Linked DNA regions of Coturnix japonica. The protein of the gene in region 1 purifies or fractionates together with the protein of each later gene. This does not show direct contact. Links are inferred from orthologs where the notes say so. Each region holds a gene or a part of one and is shown on either strand. Other genes may lie near its edges.

What was found.
Region 2: the proteins of PEX5 (region 1) and PECR purify together in Homo sapiens (affinity purification with mass spectrometry; 3 studies listed by BioGRID, with this or other methods). This does not show direct contact. The link is inferred for Coturnix japonica from reciprocal best matches to the Homo sapiens genes PEX5 and PECR.

The regions. Positions count from the first base shown.
Region 1 is NC_029516.1:69,679,103-69,684,647, forward strand, and holds the end of PEX5 (peroxisomal biogenesis factor 5), read left to right. Parts: intron 1-42; coding exon 43-186; intron 187-1,051; coding exon 1,052-1,122; intron 1,123-1,286; coding exon 1,287-1,502; intron 1,503-1,643; coding exon 1,644-1,809; intron 1,810-1,993; coding exon 1,994-2,151; intron 2,152-2,519; coding exon 2,520-2,721; 3' UTR 2,722-3,391; downstream 3,392-5,545.
Region 2 is NC_029522.1:23,213,363-23,219,462, reverse strand, and holds the end of PECR (peroxisomal trans-2-enoyl-CoA reductase), read left to right. Parts: intron 1-180; coding exon 181-262; intron 263-1,732; coding exon 1,733-1,829; intron 1,830-3,815; coding exon 3,816-3,926; intron 3,927-4,391; coding exon 4,392-4,503; intron 4,504-4,619; coding exon 4,620-4,708; 3' UTR 4,709-5,761; downstream 5,762-6,100. UniProt on the Homo sapiens protein: Participates in chain elongation of fatty acids. Catalyzes the reduction of trans-2-enoyl-CoAs of varying chain lengths from 6:1 to 16:1, having maximum activity with 10:1 CoA. Has no 2,4-dienoyl-CoA reductase activity.

The DNA of each region.
Region 1 (5,545 bases):
GCATCACCCAGCAATTAGTCCTCTGCTTGTTTCTGCTGCTAGGGTTACCAGTTTGAAGAAGATAATCCCATGAGAGATCATCCTGATGCATTTGAAGAAGGGCGAAAGCGCTTGGAGGAAGGTGACCTCCCCAACGCTGTCTTGCTGTTTGAGGCTGCCGTGCAACAGAATCCAGATCATATGGAGGTGAGAGAGACTGATGGTAACAGGCCTTGGCTAGGTGTCCTCCTTCTTGGATCCTTCACCTTTGAGGTGTTAGGATGTGTGTAGAGAGCTCCCCTCAACCAGCGGTGCAGGACATTTGTCTCTGGCTCTGGATATGTAGCTGTTGTGTGTGAATCCCAAGGAGGATGGTGGGCAAGAAGGTTTAGGGCTAAAATCAGATGCACAAAGTCTTCTGCTCAAAGCTGTGTAAAATCATAAGAATGCAGGCATGAAGCCAAGATAAGGAGCTCTTATCTCTTTGAGTTGCTTTTTGAAAGTCTTTATTGGCTTTATGAGCCTAGAGGTGCTTGTGATAGTGATGATGACAGTCTTTAATATGGGTATTAAAAGCAAAGTCTTAGCAGTTAGCTAAACTAGAGGTTCTGGTTAGAACCTGGATCTGTGAGGAAATTCCAAAGTCACCTTGGTCCAAAGTACAGCTTTGCTGGATCTCTGGAAACTCCAAAACTCTGGATTTATTTTCCTGTATAGCATACGAACCAGAAAGCCTATATATCTTTCCAGATAAGTTTCTAAGTGTTTGTGGTTAATGTATAAGGTTGCTCTGAAAGTAATGCCTCCTATTTTATCTCATCAGCCTGTGATATCAGAGGCAAGTGTTGGTGGGATGGCAGTAGAGGTTGAACCTTTCCATCAGTATTCTGTTACATTTTGTTGCTGTGTGGCAGATGGCAGCAGAGGGATAGTCCGACAAAATGGTATCTGACATGAAATTATATATGAAGCAAAGGTGTGTGTGTGTGTTTAATCTCAGGTCTAATCTCTGTGCTTGTTTATTTTTTCTGGATCTGAGGAAGTCTGACTTATGCATCTTTATTTCCTTCAGGCCTGGCAATACTTGGGAACCACCCAAGCAGAGAATGAACAGGAACTCTTAGCAATCAGTGCTCTCAGACGGTGAGTGGTACAGAAGACCCCCCCTGAGCAGGGGTCTTTCTCTTGTGCATAATGCCCTGAGGACCATGTGGCTAGTCTTCTGTCTTGGTTGTGTTGTCACCTATACGTGGGCATGACCAGTCTTGATTTAATATGATGGTTGTTTCTCTTTCTGTGACCTACAGGTGCTTGGAACTGCAGCCTGGCAACCTCACAGCACTTATGGCTTTAGCAGTCAGCTTCACCAATGAGTCATTGCAGAAGCAGGCGTGTGAGACCCTGCGGGACTGGTTACACCATAAACCAGCCTATGCCCATTTGCTGGAGAAGGAATCAGAGGAGAATGCATCAGAGACAAATCTTGGGACTTCCAAGCGTGTTCTGGGGTCCCTGCTGTCTGAGTGAGTTGGGGGTACAAATCTTAGCCTTCAGCTGAGAAGCTTCTTGGAGGATTGGGGCTGGGTTGGGCAGGTGTTAGATTGGGCAACCCAAGGTCAGCTTGTTCTACAGTATACAAATGTCCTTGTTCCATGTTTTTCCAGCTCGCTTTTTGTGGAAGTCAAAGAGCTGTTCTTAGCAGCTGTGCGCAGCGACCCCTCAACTGTTGATCCTGATGTTCAGTGTGGCCTGGGTGTCCTTTTCAACCTTAGTGGCGAATACGAGAAGGCTGTGGATTGCTTCAGTGCCGCGCTTAGTGTGCGCCCCAATGTAAGAAAGGGCAGAGTGGGGGTGCTGGAGGTACCTAGAATTTTATGGGTGGAGGTGCTGTGTGTATGAGAGGTGTATCCTTTGAAGTGGAGGAGTAAGACAGACGTGTTGGTTAGGAAGGGATGGCTTGGAACTTAAAAAGAGCCATTTTGGCTTAGTCTTTTGTCTCTGTCCCTTTCTCCAGGACCATCTCCTATGGAACAAGCTTGGTGCCACTCTGGCCAATGGGAATCGCAGTGAAGAAGCTGTGGCTGCATATCGGCGGGCACTGGAGCTCCAGCCAGGATATATCCGGTCTCGATACAACTTGGGCATCAGCTGCATCAACTTAGGTGCCCACCGGTGAGCAGAGGATGGGCAAATCTGTGACCTCTGAGTTTGCGTATCTGTGTGGGAGGGAGACACTGGTAGGTTACTAGGACAGTGCTGTGCTACCTGCCGCCTCCTGGTGGCAATAGGCAGACAGTGAATGCGTAGAGTCTGCCCTGAGAAGATGTCAGACAGATAAACTTAGGGTGGAGGCCATCTGGACTTGTATTCCTGAGAAGGGGAAAAAGGGGATCACTGGTGGTTTTGGAGTGGGGAAGGATCTGCTGAAGAGAGGGCAACTGTCGTAAAGGGGAAGAAACAGCAGCTCAGAAGCAAATGGGGAGGGAATATGAGATGTGCCATCTTCTCCAATAAGCATGTGTATATTCTCGTGTTGACAGTGAGGCTGTGGAGCACTTCTTAGAGGCTTTGCACATGCAGCAGAAGAGCCGAGGTCCACGGGGGCAGCAAGGCGCTATGTCTGACAACATCTGGAGCACCCTTCGCATGGCCCTCTCCATGCTGGGGCAGAGTGACCTGTATGGGGCAGCTGATGCCCATGACCTCCCCACGCTGCTTCAGGCATTTGGCCTCCAGCAGTGACTCTGGGATCAGCTCCCCTGTGAATGCAGGGTTGGGCCAGCCCAGCGGTGACCTTCTCTATGGAGAAAATGTTCACTTGGGTTCACACACACCTTTGCTCTGTTAGGGCAGATCACTGGCAACCTTTTCTTTTTAATCTCCTCCTGAAGTGTGCAACGTTCCCTACCTGCTGTTTGTGGCCTGAGCATCTGAGTGGTTCACATTATCACATCCGTGGCTGACTGACACTCTGCTGCCAGGCTGATGGTCAACGTGGGGAAATAGGAAGCTTTCTCAGATTACATCTGCAGGGGGTGCCCAGTGTGGCATTGAGACCTTATAGTAGCCACTCTGGAGGGAGTACTCACTAGGGATGTTTCAAAGGTGTTATGGTTGTGAGTGGGCTGCAGGGGGGAAAAAGGAGGTCCCAGGGTTCAAATTCGACACAACGTGACAGAAATGAGAGCTTAACTCTAACCTCCCTTCTCAGAATATGGTGGGGAAAGGGTTAAGTCTTAATTTTTCACTTGATTGTCACTGTTTTCACTTTGTGCAGAAGTTCCCCCATCTCGACTGTAACTGATTCTTGTTCATTATAAATATCTGTATATGATTCTGTTGGGGAAAAATGTTTTTTAATTGTAAAATATTTTGTATAATAGGGGAGAGAATTAAAATTGCCAAAATTACATCTTTCTCTGTGCGTCTGTTGAAGCCGCGTGCGGTGGGTAGCGCAGTGCTCCACAGGTACGGGCCTACTGGAATGTGAAACACGAATCTGCTTCTTTGTCTCCCGTTTTCCACCCAGATTTTGTTTTATTGGTAGCTCATGCAAATGAAGCATTAAGGACTTCATTTTGCTGTACACTCAAGACTTCTGTGAGTCTGCAAGAGCTTCCCTGTGGCTTCACCGAGGGCAGGCCTTGCCTGACCAATCTGGCGGCCTTCTGTGGTGGAGTGACGGCTTCGGTGGATGGGGGAAGGATGATGGATGTCATGTACCTGGACTTCTGCAAAGCCTTTGACATGGTCCCTCAGCACATCCTTCTCTCTAAATTGGAAAGGTGTGGATTTGAAGGATGGTCTGTTCAATGGATTAGGAATTAGTTGGCTGGATGCAGCCAAAGGGTTGTGATCAATAGTTCTGTGTCAGGGCGGAGGTCAGTCACAAGCAGTGTCCCTCAAGTATCAGTCTTGGGCCTGGTGCTCTTCAACATCTTCATCAACAGATGATGGTATCAACCACCTTCAAACTGTATTTACACCGAAGCTCTGCCTTCCACATCCCCTGAATGTGGGGGAAGGAAAAGGGCCTATAGTTTGTGTTTCCAGCCAAACACATTTCTGTTGCTAAACCTTGCTGTCCACCAGGGGTAGGTAGCAGCACTGAGGATTTTAGATTCACAAAGGGTAAAGCAGTGAGGATTTTTCAGAGGTCTGTAATTCAACGCCCTGTTGGGACTCTGACAGCTTCTGCATTTAGTAATCCCTTATTTACCTAGACAGGAATTTCACTGCTCACACAAAAGAGAGAGGACCTTTTGCTGGTCAACATTACACCTAGCGCGGCAAAGACTTGTTTGGTATTTTCAGATGCTTTCAAATGCCTGATTTGAGGCATTTGGAACCTTAGAACCCTGTAAGTGTATGGATGCTTCTAGGAGGGTCCATATCTTTAGGAAGAGTTTGTAGGTCTGGAGGTCTCCAGAGCAGCTGATGCAGTAAAAGGGAATTTCTTCAAGCAACTTTTCATGTCTTGTTGCATTTTTAAAGCAGAAGTGACACCTAGTGTTGAGTTGAGGGCAAGTCATTGTCTATCACTTTCGTACACGGGCCATTGCAACTGTCTAGCATCCAAAGAAGTTAAGAACAAACCAGAACCTCCTCCAATAAAACACTGTCCTGGTGCCTTGCATCCACAACTACCAGGGAAAAATAGCAAATAGGAAATGAGCAGATGCAGTTCATGTATGATTATCACCATCCCTGCCTACCACCCCCCATTTTAAAGTAAGGAACAAGAAAAGATGAGTAGTTACTGAGATAAAAGCTAAGGTATCCACTGTGGCAGAGAAGGTACGTGGCTAAACAACCTACTACTGAAACAGTGTGATCTTAAAGCACTTGGCGAGGTGATGTAGCTATATTTATTTAGCCTGGCATTAAAAAGGCTGGAGGAGAGGAGACTCTAATTTCTGTCTGTCGCTACCTAAAGAGGGTGTTGGGCAACAAAGCAAGACTCACTTGAGGTACACAACAAAAAGACAGTTCAGCACTGCTGGGCTGGTCCAGTCTATTTCCAGATATCTGCAAAGGACAGAGACAGAGACTGTCCTTTGCAGATGTCTGGAAATAGACTGGACCAGCCCACGTGCTGCTTTGAGGTGCTGCTGTTCACCTGCTGTTGAAGTCTGAGGTAGGATCTGCTGATGCAATAAGCTCAGCCTCTGTCTCTATAGTGAGGAGCTGGTAGTGTTTCTATTGGAATTCCGTTCTGTGCAAAAGCAGTCTTTGTTTCCTGTCCTTGCTCACTCTGAATGTTTGTCTATTTTTGCTGTGTACTCTAAGACTTACAGATGGAAAAGCAGTGTGCCAGCCCGCTGCAGTATTTTTCAGATGGAATAAAAGCAATACTTTTAATATGGGTCATACTGCCAAGTCCTCTAAAAGCATTTTGCTGTGGGGTCTGTTTGTTTGTTTGTTTGTTTAATGCTTATAGTAGATCGAGGCTTACAGTGAAGTCTTCCTTCTGAATGCTGACACATCTTGCTAGACTTGGACTGATTGAGATGGATGCTCATGAAAGCTATATTTAATTTTTTTCCAGCATGTTCATCATTTACTT
Region 2 (6,100 bases), on another chromosome or scaffold:
ACCTGCTATCTGACTGATCCGGTGATGAGGCTGTGGTACAAAGAGCAGATTGTGTATCTAAATGTGCACAGGAAGTCTGTAGCGTAATTATAGTTGGACTCCAGATTTAGTGTCCAGTTAGCAGGTTTGTTTGTGTGCACTTCTTCAGGTATTTATAGGTTATCTTCCTCCTTCACACAGTGTACAATGCCTGGATGCAGGAACATGGAGGAGCCATTGTCAACATTACTGCTGCCGTGAGAAATGGGTTTCCTGGAATGTCGTAATATACATATAATTTTTTTTACATTTTCCTGTATTTTCCCCATAGAACTATTCATTACTCCTAAATACTGTGATTAGGAGAGGTGTATAATGTGCAGCAGCTGAGTAATAGAAATACAGTAGTTAATGTCAAGAAAGCAATACTTGTCTGAATGAGTGGGAGTCATTATTAATTCAATGGAGCCTGCAAGAGTGAAGGATATCTCTGATCCTTTCTGCTACTTTGTAAGAAACTGAAGCAGAACTTGTTAGCAAAGCTTTCATTGGGAACAAGGTGCTAGTGGAACTGGTTGCCTTGACATGGAACCTTTACTTGTTTTGATGGCTTTGCAAGAGCTTGGCATCTGGTGGTTTTTTACTTCTGCTGTCAGTGCATAGATCTTGATGACATAATTACAGTAAATGGGTGCGGGATAGGTGTTGTAGTAGGAACATACATAGCATTTTACTATGTTTGCATGGAAAGGTCTCCAATGCAGGAAATTGTTTTTTTTTCCTCTGCTATAATAATAATAATATAAAAATAATATATATAATAATATATATAATAATAATAATATAACAATAATAATGATTGAGTGGAGGAATGGTACAGAAAATGTCATGTTTGTAGTTCATCTATACTGACAAAAAATGATCACAGCTGTCTGCATGAAAATAGAGGGTCTTCATAGGCAGATGTTGATTGTATTTGTTCACGTTGTTTTTTACCTTCAAAATGGATGTAAGCCTTCTGGTTGAAGCTTTTCCAACAAGAGCTTTAACTTGTGTGAGAGAAATATTCTTCAGAAAACACTGGTTTAAATGAAAATTTGATGTAGTGAGAATGCTATGCATTGGCATTTTCCAGAGGGGAAGAATTCTGAGGTTTGAGTTTCTTATTTGAAACTACTTTTTCTAATTTGACTCTGTGTGTATTCACTTGTATTTTCTTGAATAGAATTTGAACAAGTGTTATATTAACTTCCCTATGCCTCATTCAGGATTAAATCTTTCCAAATCTCAGTTTCTTACTGGCTTATTCTTAGCAGTACAAAATGTGAAGATCCACATGGTGGTGCTGAAGCTACAGTCATTTGAGTTTCTTTGCTCTGGATATATCTGTTTGAATTGTCACTATGAATAGAATATGGGAGAGTTGAACAAAGAATATAAGAGTAAAAAATTAATTCTAAATAACTTGGAGAAAAGTTCACCAGGTAACTTGTATATAGGTATGGATGGATAGGTAAGACTACTTTCAAACTAAATTCTTACATAATTGACACTCGTTTAAGGAAATTGTAGCATAGGTCTGTTAAATTTGACCCCAACTTCACTGTTTAAGAACTAGAAAATTGCTGTGCCTCTTGAGTGGTTGGTCCAGCCATGGAACACTACTCTGACTTCCTAGTAAGGCTGCAGGGATATTAATACTGAGCATTTAGCTGAGGGAAAAGGTGCTTCTTTTGCTTTCTTTTCTTAATAGGCACTCAGGAGCTGCAAGAGCAGCAGTGGATAACCTGACCAAGACTTTAGCTTTAGAATGGGCCCACAGCGGGGTGCGAATCAACAGCGTTGCTCCTGTAAGTAGCGGCAAGTGATGTGATTCAACTTGCTATCATATGTGTTTATGGTTGATGCTCCATAACTGAAAGGGATTTCAAAACGTAGAGCTTCCAACTGTTTATGGATTTTTATTTATGAATTTTTAGTTTCCTCATACATTTCACCCACACACTTTCCTTTCCATACATGCCCTTTTTTCCAAGGGGCTTTGTGTGTTTTGTGTTGTTTAGATAATGAGATAAACGTGGGGAAAATGGTTTACAAATTTTTTTTGTATATGGTTCATCTGTGCTTGTGGCTTCTGCCTGCATTCGCAGTTATGTTGAGAATCTCTGAATGTGTTCTTTCATGTTTCTATCTTCTCCTTGTCAAGTTAGGTTAGTTTTAGTTGTGAAAAGACAGTGTTGGAGATGTATCTTCACTTAAAGAAATTAGAAAACACATTTTTACATCTGGAATTCATTTTTTTTTTCTTATGAAGTATGCACAGATAGGATGCCACTACATGGGTCAGCAAAATACGCCTGCCATGTTTTTGAGGAAGTAGTTGAGATGTTGCAGTTATAAGTAACTTTGTGAAAACACCAGTTGTATTTTTGTTGCATGTGATGCAGCAGTTACAGGGCTATAAACAGGCCCTAGCTTTGAAGTCTGAGATGATGTCTAATGTGATTAAAGTTATCTTCACTCCTAATGACTGTTTCTTTTTCACATTTGCTGTCTTGAAAACTAAAGGGAAAACATTTAACTAGCTACTGCCACATTTGGAATTTCTCATCTTGCAGTTTAGTAAATCTCAGATTTATTAGTATCTTTTAAGGAAGATCCCTTTCCTGTCAGTGTAGGAGGTGAAGCAGGGTATACAGATGTCCTGCACTAAAATACCTCATTAGCTTTCTCCTGGCATAACACAAAATGCTTGATGGGAGACCCAGGAAGTGGCTCTTTTTAATAGCCTCTGTGAGGCTACTCTGGTGACTTCTTAAATATTAAGGTCTACTATCTTGTTTTTCCTGTTTGCTTTCTGATTTATCAAGACTTAGGGAAATAAGTAATGAGGACAGCATTAGTATGTGTGCATATTTTTAATGCATGCTAATTATCTAATGATTCATACTCATTATACTTTATAGCATCTGTCAGATGAGATTTTTGGCAGGCAGACACTTAAGTGGTTTGGCTTTTTTGCTATTTTAATTATGCAAGTGACAAAAATCTATTTTCTAGTTAGGGTGATACTTGACACCTTTGTGAACATACTTTGTATTAACCATGCAGAACTTGCTGTCTCACATGGGCATAGTAACATGCAGGGCAAGTGTGCGTAGAGAAGGAAATAAAATAGTTTTACAAGCGAGCTTCTTCCTTAGCTCCCGAAACACAGTTGTTCACATCTTAGAGAAATACTGAAAGGTTCTTAATGAACAAATTCAAATGCTTTTGTCTTATTGAAACTTGAGTCCGAAATTTTGTATCAGAATTCATCTGTAGAACCCTTTTTCTCTTACTATTGCATTCATCCTCTCTATGGAGTTTAAGCTGGATTTTAAAATCATCAGAACAAGGATTTCTATAACAGCTCAGTAGGAAGAGTTTGAAATCTGATTGCAAAACGCCTGTGTAATTCACAATGAAGTCAATCTAGTATTATTGCAGACTATATACAAAAACAATAAGAACTTGTTCTTGGGGTTCCTGTAGCTTTCTGTTGCAATTTAATTTGAAATGTTGGTTATTTCAAAGCAGTTGTTGAGTTTCTTAAGAGTTGTTGGTGTGGCGGTGAAGGATTAGAACAATGTGAATTAGTGTGTTTGAACAGGGATGTAACTATCTGTTCAGTTGCCTTCTTTTGTAAATTATACTATTTCATCCAAGTTAAATACTTGCATTCAAGTCGTGTTGGGATTGTTAGTGCCATAGAAAATCCCAGTAAGCTTAAAATTTAATCACAACTTAACATATGAAAGCGAACTTTTTTTGTTGTTGTTGTTGTTTTAATGTAGGGAATAGTATTTTCAGAAACTGCTGTTGCCAACTATGGAGAACAGGGTGTAATTATGTGGTTGAAGAGCATACCGAAGGTTCCTGCTAAGAGATCAGCAGTTCCTGAGGAGGTAACGTATTTCTGAACATTTGTGATGTTCCTACTTCTGTGTCTCTGTTTTAAAACCGCTTCATTATTTGGAGACTATTAAGGACCTGATTTTCAACTGGTGTAGTATAAAGAAAAGAAAAAGCTTGTAGAAATGTGCAGTAGTGTCAACTGGGGGACTTTTATTTAGCTGTTGTAGCTAAAATGTCTCGTGGTTGGCCTGTGTTTCTGGGAAAGTTGACTTGGTTTTTTTAATCGGGGAGGATTAATGTGAAAAGGTGTATCTTAAAAGTACTTGAAAGCTCACCGTTGCTCAGCTTTTACCTTGTTGGTGTTGGTAGCTGGAAGTGTGGTTTTAAGATTGTTGGGACTTTGATAGTTGAGTAAAAATCAGAGCTGTGCCTTGCCTGTGTCCATTTTTAGGAACATCTTGGACATAACTGATGGCCAGAGGTTTAAGAAGGACTGAAATTGTCATTTTTGTTAGATTTCTCCTGCAGTGTGTTTCCTGCTATCTCCAGCTGCTTCTTACATAACTGGGATAACCATGGTTATAGATGGTGGCCAAAGTTTATATGGCAGTAGCTTAGAAATACCAGGTAAGAAATGGGCTAAAAATAATGCCCCTACCGTGATTGAAGTTGGGCAATGGGAGCATGCAAAACCAAAACGCCCACTTTCTTTATCAGCTAAACCCACTGTTTTGTTTCCTCAGATCACAACAGATGGCCCTCACCACCAGAAGGAAGAAATTCTGAAATGCTTAAAAAGCTTATTTCTGGTGAATTCAAGCCAAAGCTGTAGTAGAACGAAATGTCATTTTATTCCTGGTTTCACAGTTGCTGATAATCTCACTTTGTAACTTGGTATTACAATTACCAGTAACATGATTTCTTTTTCCCCCTCACATAACTACATAGGTTTTCATTGTCTCACATTCTCCTGTTTAAAACTTGAGTAGGTCCATAGAACATCTTCACTAACAAACACTTGCTGGCCCTTGGAAGGTGTAAAATCGATTCTTCATTGACACTACTAAGTAAGGAAGGATCTCAGTCAGGAATGGTTAAAAGACACCTACTTTGAACTGAAGGGACAGGAAGAGAATTTTATAGAATCATTTTACACAGAGTGATTTGGGGGAGGAAGTTTAAGTCTTTGTTATTGGTACCTGCATCAGTAACCCTTGCAGTGGCTGTTAGAAGTATATAGTTTCAGTTCAGCCACAATCTGAATGCTCACAATGATTTTAAGGATTGATTAAAGTGCTTATCTGAGATGGGAGGAAATAAAATAAAGCAGAGGCCGGTTAAATAGCGGAATACTGTTTTTACAGCTTCAAACTAATGAAGCGTATCAGATGTTTCCAGTTGTTTGCCGATAAAATGACTTCAGGAGATGAGCAGCTGCCACTTAAATTCGTTGATAGAATAATCAAATAATAAGCTGTACAATACACTCTTGGAAAACTGTATGGATTTGATCATCTCACAGCAAAACCTGGAAGCATAGGTGCAGTGTATATTGCAGTGCTTTGTGCAATTTGCTATACTGGTGAAAGGAAAAACTTATGAATCTTACGTTTATCAGTGTAAATGCTTTCTATCCACACTGTCTTCTCTACTGATGTGCTGTTGAGATACCAGCTTTTTTCATCAGCATTCCTGAAACAGGGGTGATGCTTGTTCTCAATGGAGAGTTTCCATTAAAAAAAAAAGCCAACAAATCACAAGCAAATAAGTCTTAGAATATATTACTTGAAGAGGCTGGTTGTTGTAATTACTTTAAGACAAATGTTCTCATGTCTGATAACTTTGATCAAAGTATTAAAATAAATGACTGTTGTAACAACTGAAATTTGTGGAATCGAGTTGCTGCTACAGAAGTTACCTCGTCAGTACTGAATTTTGGATTGAATATGGGAGTGTCCACCAGCTGTGTGATCCCTCCAAAGGTGCTCGACTTTCTGCCTTTAATTAAAGTGCTGGAAAATACATGAAAAAAACAGGTTTGTTTATGAAGACTTCAGGACTGATTTTGGGGGAGGAGGGGGAAGGGAAAGTTGAGATGGGGAAGAGGGGGTTGTTGAGATGGGGCTGGAGCTCAAAACCAGAATGAAATAATGAAATAAGCTTTTTTCAAACCTTGTGAGTGATTTATTTTTTATTCTGGTGATTGTAAATGTTAATTCAGGGC